Mus musculus: one gene and its partners. The protein of the gene in region 3 binds, or shares a complex with, the protein of the main gene of each other region. Links are inferred from orthologs where the notes say so. Each region holds a gene or a part of one and is shown on either strand. Other genes may lie near its edges.

What was found.
Region 1: the proteins of Ints9 (region 3) and Brat1 are in contact, whole or in part, in a cryo-EM structure (PDB 8UIB), measured with the Homo sapiens proteins. The link is inferred for Mus musculus from reciprocal best matches to the Homo sapiens genes INTS9 and BRAT1. Residues at the interface, in NP_060720.2 of Homo sapiens: Gly276, Met277, Gly279, Glu280, Cys282, Ser283, Asn284, Ala286, Leu287, Arg290, Asn291, Tyr315, Asp317, Ser318, Ala319, Gly320, Ser483, His484; in NP_689956.2 of Homo sapiens: Ala406, Pro407, Cys416, Pro460, Gln506, Lys507, Arg508, Cys510, His511, Pro512, Arg517, Glu545, Leu549, Gln552, Asp556, Pro557.
Region 2: Ints9 (region 3) and Ints12 share a complex: the UniProt entries of both Homo sapiens proteins name them as parts of the integrator complex. The link is inferred for Mus musculus from reciprocal best matches to the Homo sapiens genes INTS9 and INTS12.

What each region holds. Positions count from the first base shown.
Region 1 is NC_000071.6:140,717,392-140,719,974, reverse strand, and holds the end of Brat1 (BRCA1-associated ATM activator 1), read right to left. Parts: intron 2,074-2,583; coding exon 1,378-2,073; 3' UTR 596-1,377; downstream 1-595. UniProt on the Homo sapiens protein: Component of a multiprotein complex required for the assembly of the RNA endonuclease module of the integrator complex.
Region 2 is NC_000069.6:133,090,633-133,094,706, reverse strand, and holds the start of Ints12 (integrator complex subunit 12), read right to left. Parts: upstream 2,853-4,074; 5' UTR 2,731-2,852; exon of another isoform or gene 2,668-2,730; intron 1-2,667. UniProt on the Homo sapiens protein: Component of the integrator complex, a multiprotein complex that terminates RNA polymerase II (Pol II) transcription in the promoter-proximal region of genes.
Region 3 is NC_000080.6:64,948,707-64,953,097, forward strand, and holds the start of Ints9 (integrator complex subunit 9), read left to right. Parts: upstream 1-1,586; 5' UTR 1,587-1,652; coding exon 1,653-1,661; exon of another isoform or gene 1,662-1,693; intron 1,694-4,391. UniProt on the Homo sapiens protein: Component of the integrator complex, a multiprotein complex that terminates RNA polymerase II (Pol II) transcription in the promoter-proximal region of genes.

The DNA of each region.
Region 1 (2,583 bases), on a different chromosome or scaffold from region 3:
ATTATGTGGGAGCTGACAGTAGTGTTCAGAGAAATGCAGATAATAGAGGCCTGGCTTGTGAAGTTTTAGGAGGACACTAAGACTATCAGGACCATTCATGTGATATATTTAAAATCAGAATCTTTCTGGTCAGCTGGGGCTGAAGAATCAGTTGTGATTAACAGAGACCAGCACCACTGAGGTAAATCTTCTAGGAAGGAACTCTTCAGGGTCAACACACCCCTCTGTGGTCCAGAGGGGACCAAGGCTGCATCTCAAGCTGCCAGATAAACTTAGTTTAAAAAAAAATCTCATGTGGTACTGGTCAGTCACATAAAAGCTACAAGATTAAAGCTATCATGGAAAGGACTCAGGAGAGGCCACTGATGAAGGTGCAGTTTCAGTTGCGGTGGAGACCCCAGGACTGTGGGATAACCAGTGGTGTGCGCTGTGGATGGCGGAGCCGGGAAGTGGGGGAAGAAGCCCAAGCCCTCTGGAGCTCAGGAGCTTAGAGTGAGCTCTAAATGTCAGACACTGAGGTTTTTACACTGCTGGATGTTGGGTTTGCTTTGATTGTAACTGTGCTGTGGTTCTACCCTCAAAGAGAAGACAGAACTTTAAAAAAAATTTTTTTTTATTTTATTTTACAGGACCCACAGTTGTGACTTTGAACTTTTAATGTATCTGAATTCTTTAAAGATTATGGGACTTTCAAACGTTGGGTGACGGAGCAGAGAGCTGAAGGCCATATGCAGATCACAGTGGGGCTTTGTTAATCCACATACACAATTGAAGGTTATAGACATCAGTACTACCTGTTCTGAGCAGAAAACAAGCCACCTCTTTAATAACACGTGGAAAGTAGGATTCTGTGGGACCTGGGGAGATGGTTCAGTGGGTAAAGTGCTTGCCGTGCAAGCATGAGGACCTGAGTTCAAATCCCAGCACCCATGTATGTAGACCCAGGCACAGGGATACAGTATTATGATCCCGGTGCTGAGGAGGTGGTGGCGGGATCCCTGGAGCTCACTGGCAAGCCTCATCAGGGAGTACCAAGTCCTAGTGAGAGACCTTTTCTCAAAAACCAAGGTGGACAGCACCTGAGGAAGAACACTGGAGGCTGGCCTCCGGTCTGCATGCACAGCACACAAAGGGTGGAGATTTTGTTTTGATTTGATTTCTTGGGTTTTCTTGAGACAGGGTTGCTATCTAGTCCAGGCTGGCCGGGAACTCTACATTCTCCTCCCTTGGTCTTTTAAACGCTGTGATCATAGGTGTGTTATCGTACCCGGCTTAAAACATGTGATCCACCCCCTGCAGGGTCTCTTGAGCTGCTGACCTGGGCTGGGGTCCTCCTGCTGGCACAGGATGGAAACAGGGACAGGACGTGGACACGCCTTAGTAGCAGTCAGCTTCGTTCTCCTCCAACACACCCACCGTGGCCAGCATGTCCTGCAGCAGGGACTGTGGGCTCTTCTCCACATGGTCGCTGCTCTTGGCCAGCCTGCCCTGCAGGCCCTCCAGGTCTAAGGCCCTGAGGATGGCTAGCATGGCCTCAGGATCCAGGTCCCCTAGGGGCTGGGCCTGCTCTCCTTCCCGCCACCTCTGCAGGGCAGCCTCCACTGAGGCTGAGTTGGGGCTGTCCCCTGCCTCCCGAGGGCTACTGCAGGGAACTGTCTTGTCCCTCAAGAAGAGGAGCAGGTCACAGGCCTTTTGGGCCACCGGTCGGTCACAGTCAAGCAAGGCACAAAAGGCAAACTCAAAGAGCGGCAGACGGCAGAGAGTCTGCAAGAATTCCGGGTGTGGGCGGGGAGAGGAGGCCCTGGGCAGGCCCACTGTATAGGGACAGTGGAGGCTGGGCTGGCCCAGTGCCTGGGTGAGGAACACCCGTGCCAGCTCCAAACCCTGCACTCGGACCTCCCAGTCCAGATCCCGGCTCACTGCCTGGAGAACAGTGGCCACGAACCACTCCGTGTCTCGAACCACGTCAGCATGGCCATCCCTCAGCCAGTCCGTGAAGACCCGTAACACAGCCCTTCGAGGGAAGCCCTCTGAGTCAGTGGACAGGATATGCATAAGGTCCATGAGTAGGCCCTGCAGGTTGGAGAATTCCAAAAAAGTCGGCCCGACCCTGATAACTTGTCAAGGATCCAATGCAGCTATGAGACCGCCCTCTGAGTGACCGTGATAGAGCATCTAGGGAAGGCTAAGGCACAGAACGGCTGGGGTCTCACACTGAATAGAAAGGAGAACGTGAGCCAGGTGCCAGCGTCCATCTCTCTGCACCCTGACTACAGCTGCCTCAAGCTCCTACCACTACGGCTCACCCAACCAGGAGGATGGCACCCTCAAACTATGAGCCCTAACGAACTCACTTCCTTAACCTGCTTTCTTCAGGAATTCTGATTCAGCAGCAAGAAATCCAACTAATACAGTGACGAGCCAAGGACGGAACCCAGGAGACGTAAGTACTCAGCCATAGCACGGGCCATGTGCTGCTCTGGTCCCTCAACACGATGTGTTCTGAGTTCCTCCAGCCCTGCCCTTGCTTATCAGGGTGGGGTGTCAGAAAGAGCACAGGCACTATGCCCGACTGCCCCCCAC
Region 2 (4,074 bases), on a different chromosome or scaffold from region 3:
ATTTCCCTTTTCTCCCAATACATCATGGCTTCTTTAAAGCACAGATGCTCATCCTGCAAATCCATCCAGTGTTTTTACTGAGCTCAGCCCTTCACCCTCCTCAAACTAGCTTTATTAGCCCAGTCATTAATAACACATTCCTCTATAGTTCCTCCTTTTTCCTCAAGCACTATCTATCTGTCTTTACTATTCTCACTAATGACATCATGTTTTACAGCTCCCAACACGGAAGTGTTCCTCTGACTTGTTCCATCAGAAAAGCTATAACAGTACTCAGATAGAACCTCTTCTGTATTGCTCAGCTTAGAAATTCCATGACTCCATTTATCAACCTCTGACCTCAGGGGTTTATTTACATAATATTAGGGCCAGGCCCTTCTTTCTCTCTCCCTGACATTACCTTTAATTAAGCATATATTATGATCTTCTAAAACATTTTATAAATAATTTTATTTAGTTCATTAACAGAAAGCTTCATTTTCAGCTAGTGAAATGTGAAGTCTGCTACACCATTCTCTATGACTACAATCAACAGCCTCCTTCTTTGCAAACTATATCTTCCTTTTTTTTTTTCCTTCTCCACTGTTTTAACTCAAGAAGATATCTGGGGTATTATAAGACAATATTTTTTTTAGTTAATTCCCTCCCCCCCCTTCTTTCTTGCTCCTATTTCTTTTTCAAACCAAAGAGAAGCAGTAGGTGGCATAAACAATGTACATGTAAATAGAGAACAGGAAGATAGATGAAAGAATATGTTAAGTGTGAGTTTATTTTAAAAACCTAAGCACTGTTTAAAACAAAGAAAGGAAGAAAATGAATACTTATTACTGTAAAACTATCAATAACCTAGGATGTGGCAGTGATAGCTAGCGCTGGTGGGAGGGATGGTTGGGGCACACCAGGAAGTACCTGTAGCTATGCAAGACACACTGCAACTGCCAGCCTACACAATAATCTCCCCGCATCGCTTACCTCTGTTTATGGCAGTATGCTATTCCCTTCCTGTTCGGCTTCCACTCTAGAACAAGCCGTTCCGTGACTCTCTTCCAGTTCTCTAAGCATCCTTATCCCACTGCTCTAAGGTTTACCTACTGTGTAGACATGCTTCTATTTGGCATCTTCTCCCGTCTACACCCAAACAAGTGCCACTGAAAGAAATACCATATTCTCTTCCAGGTTATTAGTCCTATCTAGCATGCTTCACACTTAGCATTCTCATGCTTGTTTGGTCAACTCACTTCCCATCTTTCCAGAAAGAACAATTACATTTTCCTACTGAACAGGACCTCTTGCAGCCTCTTGACTCTTTATTTCTCCAAGTCAGTTTTAAGTCCAGCTTCCCTTTTCCAAGTCCCCTTCTAGCTCTAGCTACTCTCCCCTATTTTAAGATCAGGTGAATACAAGAGGGATACTTTGTATTTTTACATTTAAGTTGGTATTGGACCTCTCTTTCCCTGGCTTTCTCATTCTTGCCACTATTGTTCCAATGCTCTGTCTTGCTTTAGTCTCACTACCAATTTGTTCTTCAGCAGTCATGAGCATTTTGTTGTCAAATACCATCTCAAGGCAGATGACTCTGTATGGTTTTTCTCTCACTTCCTCTTATTTCTCTGTTACTCTGAAAACAATGACCAGACTATTATATTCAGCTAACTCACCGAAGTCTAATATTCTTGTCTTTTACTCTACACAGTTCTAGTCACTTCAGCAAAAGGCATTCATGAAATGCAACTGTCTTTTCCTCTCAACATAACTCAAACACAAAAAAGCAAGACAATCGTCTATTTTATGGGTAGGGATGTGTACAGTGCTCTGACCTGCAACATTCACTTTCTACTCTTTCATTTGTCTTTAATTATTAATCTCACTAGTGTATAGCTTTTATGAGAGCAGAAGTTTATGAAGGGGGAATGTGAGGGGGAATGCAGGAATTTCCCTGGCAAGTAGCATTTCACAGGTGTTTTTAAAAAATATTTATTGAATCAACTGGATTTTTGCCAAAATGGTCCTTTTCAAGGCTGCTGTGATGTCCCCAAACAAAATTGAGCACCCCTACCTAAATAGATGCTTTCTCTCAGATCTCTTTCACCCTGCCTACTAGTTTCAAACAAACTTCTAAGTTGATCACCTGCTAGTGCATGAGATAAAGGAAACTGCAGAGAGTGCAATACTCATTACAACACTCGAGACCATCCCATTCGTGTTTCTGCAAGATTCTGTAATCCTTTCCAATTAACTTCTTCTTTCCATTTAGTGCTTCGCCTTTGGGGAAGTCTGGAAACTCAGGATGTAAAAACCCCAATTCCAAAACAAACCCAAGCGCTAGAGAAGCTAAGGAGAGTCAAGAGACACTTCGAAATGCCAATTCTTTGATGGAATCAAAACACACTGGGGGCGGCCTCGAATAGGGGTAAGTCCTTCTCAAGGAGGCCAGAACAGAGATGTAAAACGGGAGCTGTACAGAGGTCTCCGGAACCCTCGGTCAAAGGTCTTGGACAATTCCACGGTCCCGGTCCCCCGGGCCACCGTCCTCGGCGCCCTCCTCACTCAGTCCTTCCAGACTAGGAGGAGCGCTCAGGCGGAGCCACGCAACCACCCCGCAAATTATGAGGTCTCCCCTCCAGCAGGGAGGAGACCGACAGCCCACGGAGCTCCGCTCCGGCCGCCCCTCGCGGGGTCTCGAGCCTCCCCCCGAGGCGCCAGGAAGCGGGGACCCTCGTCACCACTCACCGCTCCGCCCCGCCACTCGGTCGGTTCCCGGTAGCTCTCTTCGAATCCGTCCCCGCCCTCACCAGCTTTAAGAAGAGAGAAACAAAGGTTCCCGCAACAGGTCGGAAGGGGAACGTTTCCGAGTGAGACAGCAGGAAGTGACGTAGGGCACTCCTTCCGGTCCGCCGGATTATGAATGGCGTTGGGCGGGGGACGCGCAGACACGTTGTCTCTTCCTTCTTTTTGCCCCCTTTCCCCTGCTCAGGGCCTCGCTGGGAGGCGAGTGCTCCTCCTCAGGCCGCGGCTTCCAGAAGTAGCCTCGGAGTCCCGGCTCGAGCTGGGCGGGAAGGCGCGGTGGCCCGCGTCGTCGCCCGCATGCTCCCGCGCCCTCCCTGCCTGGCCGCGCCCCTGCGACCAGGTAAAGAGGGCGCTCGGGCCGCTCGTCCCCCCGCCGCCTCCTGAGATCCGCGCTCGCCCTCAGGGGTCGGCGGGGCTGGGCTTGGAGGCCAGGGTGGGACCGGTGACGGCTCGCAGCCCTTGAGAGTCTTGCCAGCCCCACATTCACCGCAGGCTTTTGCTGTGGGTGCAGATGGACGGGCTTCGCGCCGTTCCGCTGAGTGACGCGTGGGCCCCTCGGCTGCGAGCCATCCCTCTAGTCTTTTCCCTGCGTGGGTAGAGCAACAGGGCAGCTTTGCCTGGTAGGGGGTTGTGTGGTCGTTTTGAGTTAAGTGCAGGAAAAAAGACCTCTTGGAGCACGACTTAACTTTCCCCAAAGACATAGTTTTACGTCGCAGCCCTTCCTGATTGGACGCTGTACATGCGTACTATTTTACAGTTAGGATCTGCTGCATTTGGGGACATTTGCTATCCCCACCAAAGCAGCGTTGCCCTTCCATTATTAGCACGAACAGAAAGCTTGAGTTTGCACGAGAACTGCTTTGGCTTAAATTAAAAAAGAAAAAAAAAAAAAAAAGAATACCCTAATACATACCTCTCTAACTTTGACTGGGGAATTACACCACCCCATCTCCATCCCCCGCCATACTCACCACCAAATCCTTTGTCATAAATTCCTTAAGGTCAGAAAAAATAAACGAGTGTATCTCGTACCACATTATTGCTAAAGATGGTGGCATTTGTCAAGTTTCCCTCGTGCTGTCCCACAATTTAAAAAGCAAGAACTGGAAGTGACTTTAAACATGTAAATATGGTCTTGAAATGCCATGAGAATAAACTGTTACAATACAACTGATTTGCTGTCATATTTAGTAGATCAAACTTTAAGCTATATGAGTGTTAAACTGCACTTTGAGGAGCATACACTGCCATTGACGCTGCTGAAATTGTGACTCAATCATTTTAAAG
Region 3 (4,391 bases):
AGCCCCACGTTCCCGAATTTTAAATAACTGGCAAGCTACTGAGCATGAAGATGACAAGATACCTCTACTTACTGTTTCGGGGTGAAGGTGGGTGGAGGACTCCTTTCAAAGTAGCCCCAATAGTGTAACCCAAACACGGTTCCGGAATAAAATACTAAGAGACACTTTTCCTTTCCCACCTTTAGCTGCCGACTTGAGGCAAAGATGCATCTCCACATCACATCATCTATATAGTCCTGCCGGGAGTTTGGGGTGGAGACTGGCCCAGAGTAGGGCACCGAGTGTGAGCTGGGCGCCCAGACACTAACGAGTTACTGAGCCCCCCCAAACCCTGCACAAGATCCTTGGACCAAAAGTCCAGCCCGGGACTCCTGCGTGCTTCCCAAGCCCAGGCCGCTTATCTCTGACTCCAGCCATCTAACTTACCATCTACAGACATTCCTTCAAGACGATCGCAGCACCCAAGTACACGTCACAGTTTAAAACACAGCGAGACACTCCCCAAACAAACCAGCACACCTCGAAACCACCTTACAGTTTCTCAAACTCCCAAGCAGGAAGACCCCCCAACTCCAGGATTCAAACCTTCCGCCGGTCCTGAAGACCAGAGAGAAGTTGGGAAGCCATCGACGCCTCTCCACGCCCGCCCCTCACAAACTGCCCCACCCCACAGCCCGCGCACGGCCGCCCCCTCGGAAGTACCCCTACTTGCTCCCCTATGCTCAACCTGGCTACTCCAGAGACCCATCTGTGGCGCCTACTCACTTTCTCTCCCCCCCAAACATCTCGACATTTTTTTTTCCTTAAAGTAATGAGAGAAGTGAGGAAAAGAGACTTGAGGCAGTCCAGCTTGCAAACGACCCCACTCACCTTGGAAATCCAGCTGAGAGTTCTCTGCACCCTGCTCAGCCCCCTCCCCAGCGTCCCAGTGCAAGGCTGAGGGAGGGAGGAGGAAGGCGGGAGGGGGAGGGGATCTTCACCGCGGGGCGCCCTGCGGGAGGGGCTGAGGAGGGCTCCAGGCCCGCGCAGGAAGAGCCTAGGGGGGAGGGGAGGCCCCTATCTCCCAGTCTCCCCCTGAAAACCTCCCTTGTCTCAATCACATCAGACTGACTGTCTTTGTCTGGCTGACAACCGCCATATTGATAGCAACAGCCCCGCTCCCACCTGCTGCCGCTGGGCATCCCTGGGAGTTGTAGTTTCCGGTTCCCTAGAGGAAAAGTGCAGAGTTGAGGGTCTGAGGCCCTAGGGAACTACAGCTTCCAGCAGGCACTGCGCCCATACGCCTTCCCACAGGGAGGAGGGGAGCTGGGAGCTGAAATCGTGCGGACTACACATCCCAGAATACCATGGATGCTAGACCCAGATGAGGGACATGATATCATGCTGGGATGGAAAGGAAGGATGAATTGGCGGCGGCGATGAATTTGAGCGGACGGAAGGAGGTGATTAGAGAGAAAAGGGAGGAAAAGGAAAGACGCCCACAGTGCCCATGATACCTGCAGTAAAACTACATTTCCCGTGAGGCTCTGGAAAATGCTTAAGGAGTGAAGACTCCAAGTCCCGCGATGCTCTGGGCTATAGAGATTAAACCGGAAGATCCTTCCCTGTCTTTAGAAGTGAAGAGACTGGTACTGAACAACCAAAAGTCCGATATGAAACTGGTGAGTTTCCACTACTAAGTCAGAGGGCAAAGGTAATGAATGCTATATATCTTTGGAGTCTGTCGCCTCCACCATGATTTATCACGGAGGGAGGTCAGCACTTAAAAATTATAAAGTGAGCTGGGTTTTGCGATTGGGATTTGAATTCCCGCTTGCTCACATCCCACAGCTCCTGCATCTGTCAGGAGGTCTTCATTACTGTTTGGCAGATCCCTTTGGCCGCACGTGAGGTTGTATGTTACATTTCTTCACCCTTGGGCTAAAGATAGGCTCCAAAACTTTGGTTTGGTCATGTTTCTCAGCCTGCACCTGAGAGCTATAATAGATCATCAACCACTTTCCACTTAATGAGCACTTGAGTGGACTCCTACTGATATTGCGAGGCTGGATTCCGATCTGAACAGAAAGTAGGAGCGATCAGACAGAAGGTCTAAATGTCCTGTTACTCCTAACTGCAGTTCGAATTACAAGAAAGAGATGCTAAAGGGTGGTGCCCTTGAAGGATTCCCGTCTAAAGCCTGCTTGAAATAAACAGCTCTAGATAAAACATGCCTCCTGAAGAAGTAACTGTGTGGCAAAACACTAAGCTGACAGGTGGCCTTTTCAGATATTTGCTTTGCCCCATTTTTCTGAGCACACCGTTCTAACAAGTTGTTTTATTCAAGCTTAATGGAATAAGTAATAGAGTAATAAGGAAATTGAACGCAGGTGTGAAATGCTTGTCGTCGCCCTCCTATTCCCTACATTCTCACTGCCAACTTACTGTAGAATCTTCCTAATTGCTACGTGGAGAGAAATATCCTCAATAGAGTGAAGTGTGTTTGGTATGTTCTGTTTAAGAGAGAAGCGATGCAGAAACGTTTATTCCAGAACAACTTTTTTTTTTTTTTCTCTTCTTCTGTTTTTTTGAGATAGAGCTTCTCTGTGTAGCCCTAGCTGTCCTGGAATTCTCTTTGTAGCCCAGGCTGGCCTCTCAGAACAACTTCTTTGGGAGGGTATCAGAACTTAGGTACTTTTTGCTTTACTCATAAAATCTTCTTGCTTAACGTATACACAGAGGTTAAAGCAGGGAAGGAGCAAATGGAAAATTAGCCATTCCCTTTCAGAATCAAAAGCTGGCGAAAAGAAACCAGATGTGGCACACCTTTAATTCCAGCACTCAGGAGGCAGAGGCAGGCAGACCTCTGAGTTCTAGGATAGCCAGGGAAGTTATACTGAGAAATCCTGTCTCAAAAAAAGAAAGAAAGAAAGATAAAGAAAAGAGAGAGAAAAAGAAATCAAGAAAAGGAAGTATTAAAAAGAAAGAAAAGAAAAAGAAGTATTCTAATTATTATCTTCCCTTTCAAACAGTGTAGATCCAATAATTAATCCAATAATTACTATCCGAATATCAAAATAGTTTCTCAGTAGGTTAAACTTGTGTGCTGTGCCTACCAAAGGGTTTGAATAAACTTTCTCAGGTCCTTACATTTTAGCTCTGTTTACTGCTTTAAAAATGTGAGGTTGGCTATGGGTTTTGTATATTATAGGGACTAGGGATCTATGTCAGTGGCAGCATGGTTGCCTAGGATGCACACAATACATTGGGTTTGGTCTTCAGCATGATGGTAATGAGTTACATTGTGAAACACAAACATGCTTTTGAACAAAGTCTTGTTTTTGAGTAAGACTTTCCCTTGCTGGGCAGTGGTGATGCACACCTTTAATCCAAGCACTTGGGAGGAGGAAGCAGGCAGATTTCTGAGTTGGAGGCCAGCCTGGTCTACAGAGTGAGTTCCAGGACAGCCAGGACTGCACAGAGAAACCCTGTCTCAGAAAAACAAAACAAAACAAATAAGACTTTCACAGGTGCACATGAGGGATAGCCACATCTTGATTCTTTTCCCTTAATGAGAATTTCTTGAATAGGTCTGTTTTTCTGTCTTCTTACTAATACTGCTTACTTACTTACTAATACTGTGATGGTTTGTTTCACTGGGCATTTGGAATTCAGTAAGACCTTCTGTCCTTAAGTTTTGTTTTTGTTATTGTTTTTGTTTATCAGCTTCACACAAAGCTAGAGTTATCTGGGAAGAGGGGTTTCAAATGAGAAAATGCCTCCCTTTAGTCTGCATTTCCTTGATTGACGATTGATGTGGATGGTGTCAACCCACTATTTGTGGTACTATCTCTGTGCAGATGTTCCTGAAGCTGATAAGAAAGCAAGCTCAGCAAGCTGTGGGGAGCAAGCAATAAATAGCCTTCCTCCATAGCCTCTGTTTCAGTTCCTGCCTCTAGGCCCTGACTTCCCTACGTGATGGATGTGATCGGGATCTAAACTAGTTAAACACTTTGCCTCCTTTTGGTCACAGTGGGTGTTGTTTATGGTTTTGTTTGTTTAGTTGGTTGGTTGGTTGGTTTCGGTTCGCCTTTAGTTTTGTTTTGTCTTGAGACAGGGTCTCACTATGTAGCTCCGGCCATCTTGGAACTCACTCTGTATACAAGGCTGGACTCGAACTCACATCGATCCACCTGCCTCTGCCTCTGCCTCTGCCTCTCTGCCTCTCTGCCTCTCTGCCTCTCTGCCTCTCTCTCTGCCTCTCTGCCTCTCTGCCTCTGCCTCCCAAATGCTGCGATTCAAGGTATGCACCACCACATTTAGCTTGGTCATCGTGTTTTACCACAGCAATGGCAAGCAAACTGGAACACCTTCTAAGTGCCCTCCCGGCATTCAGTCTTGATCTCTTCTGG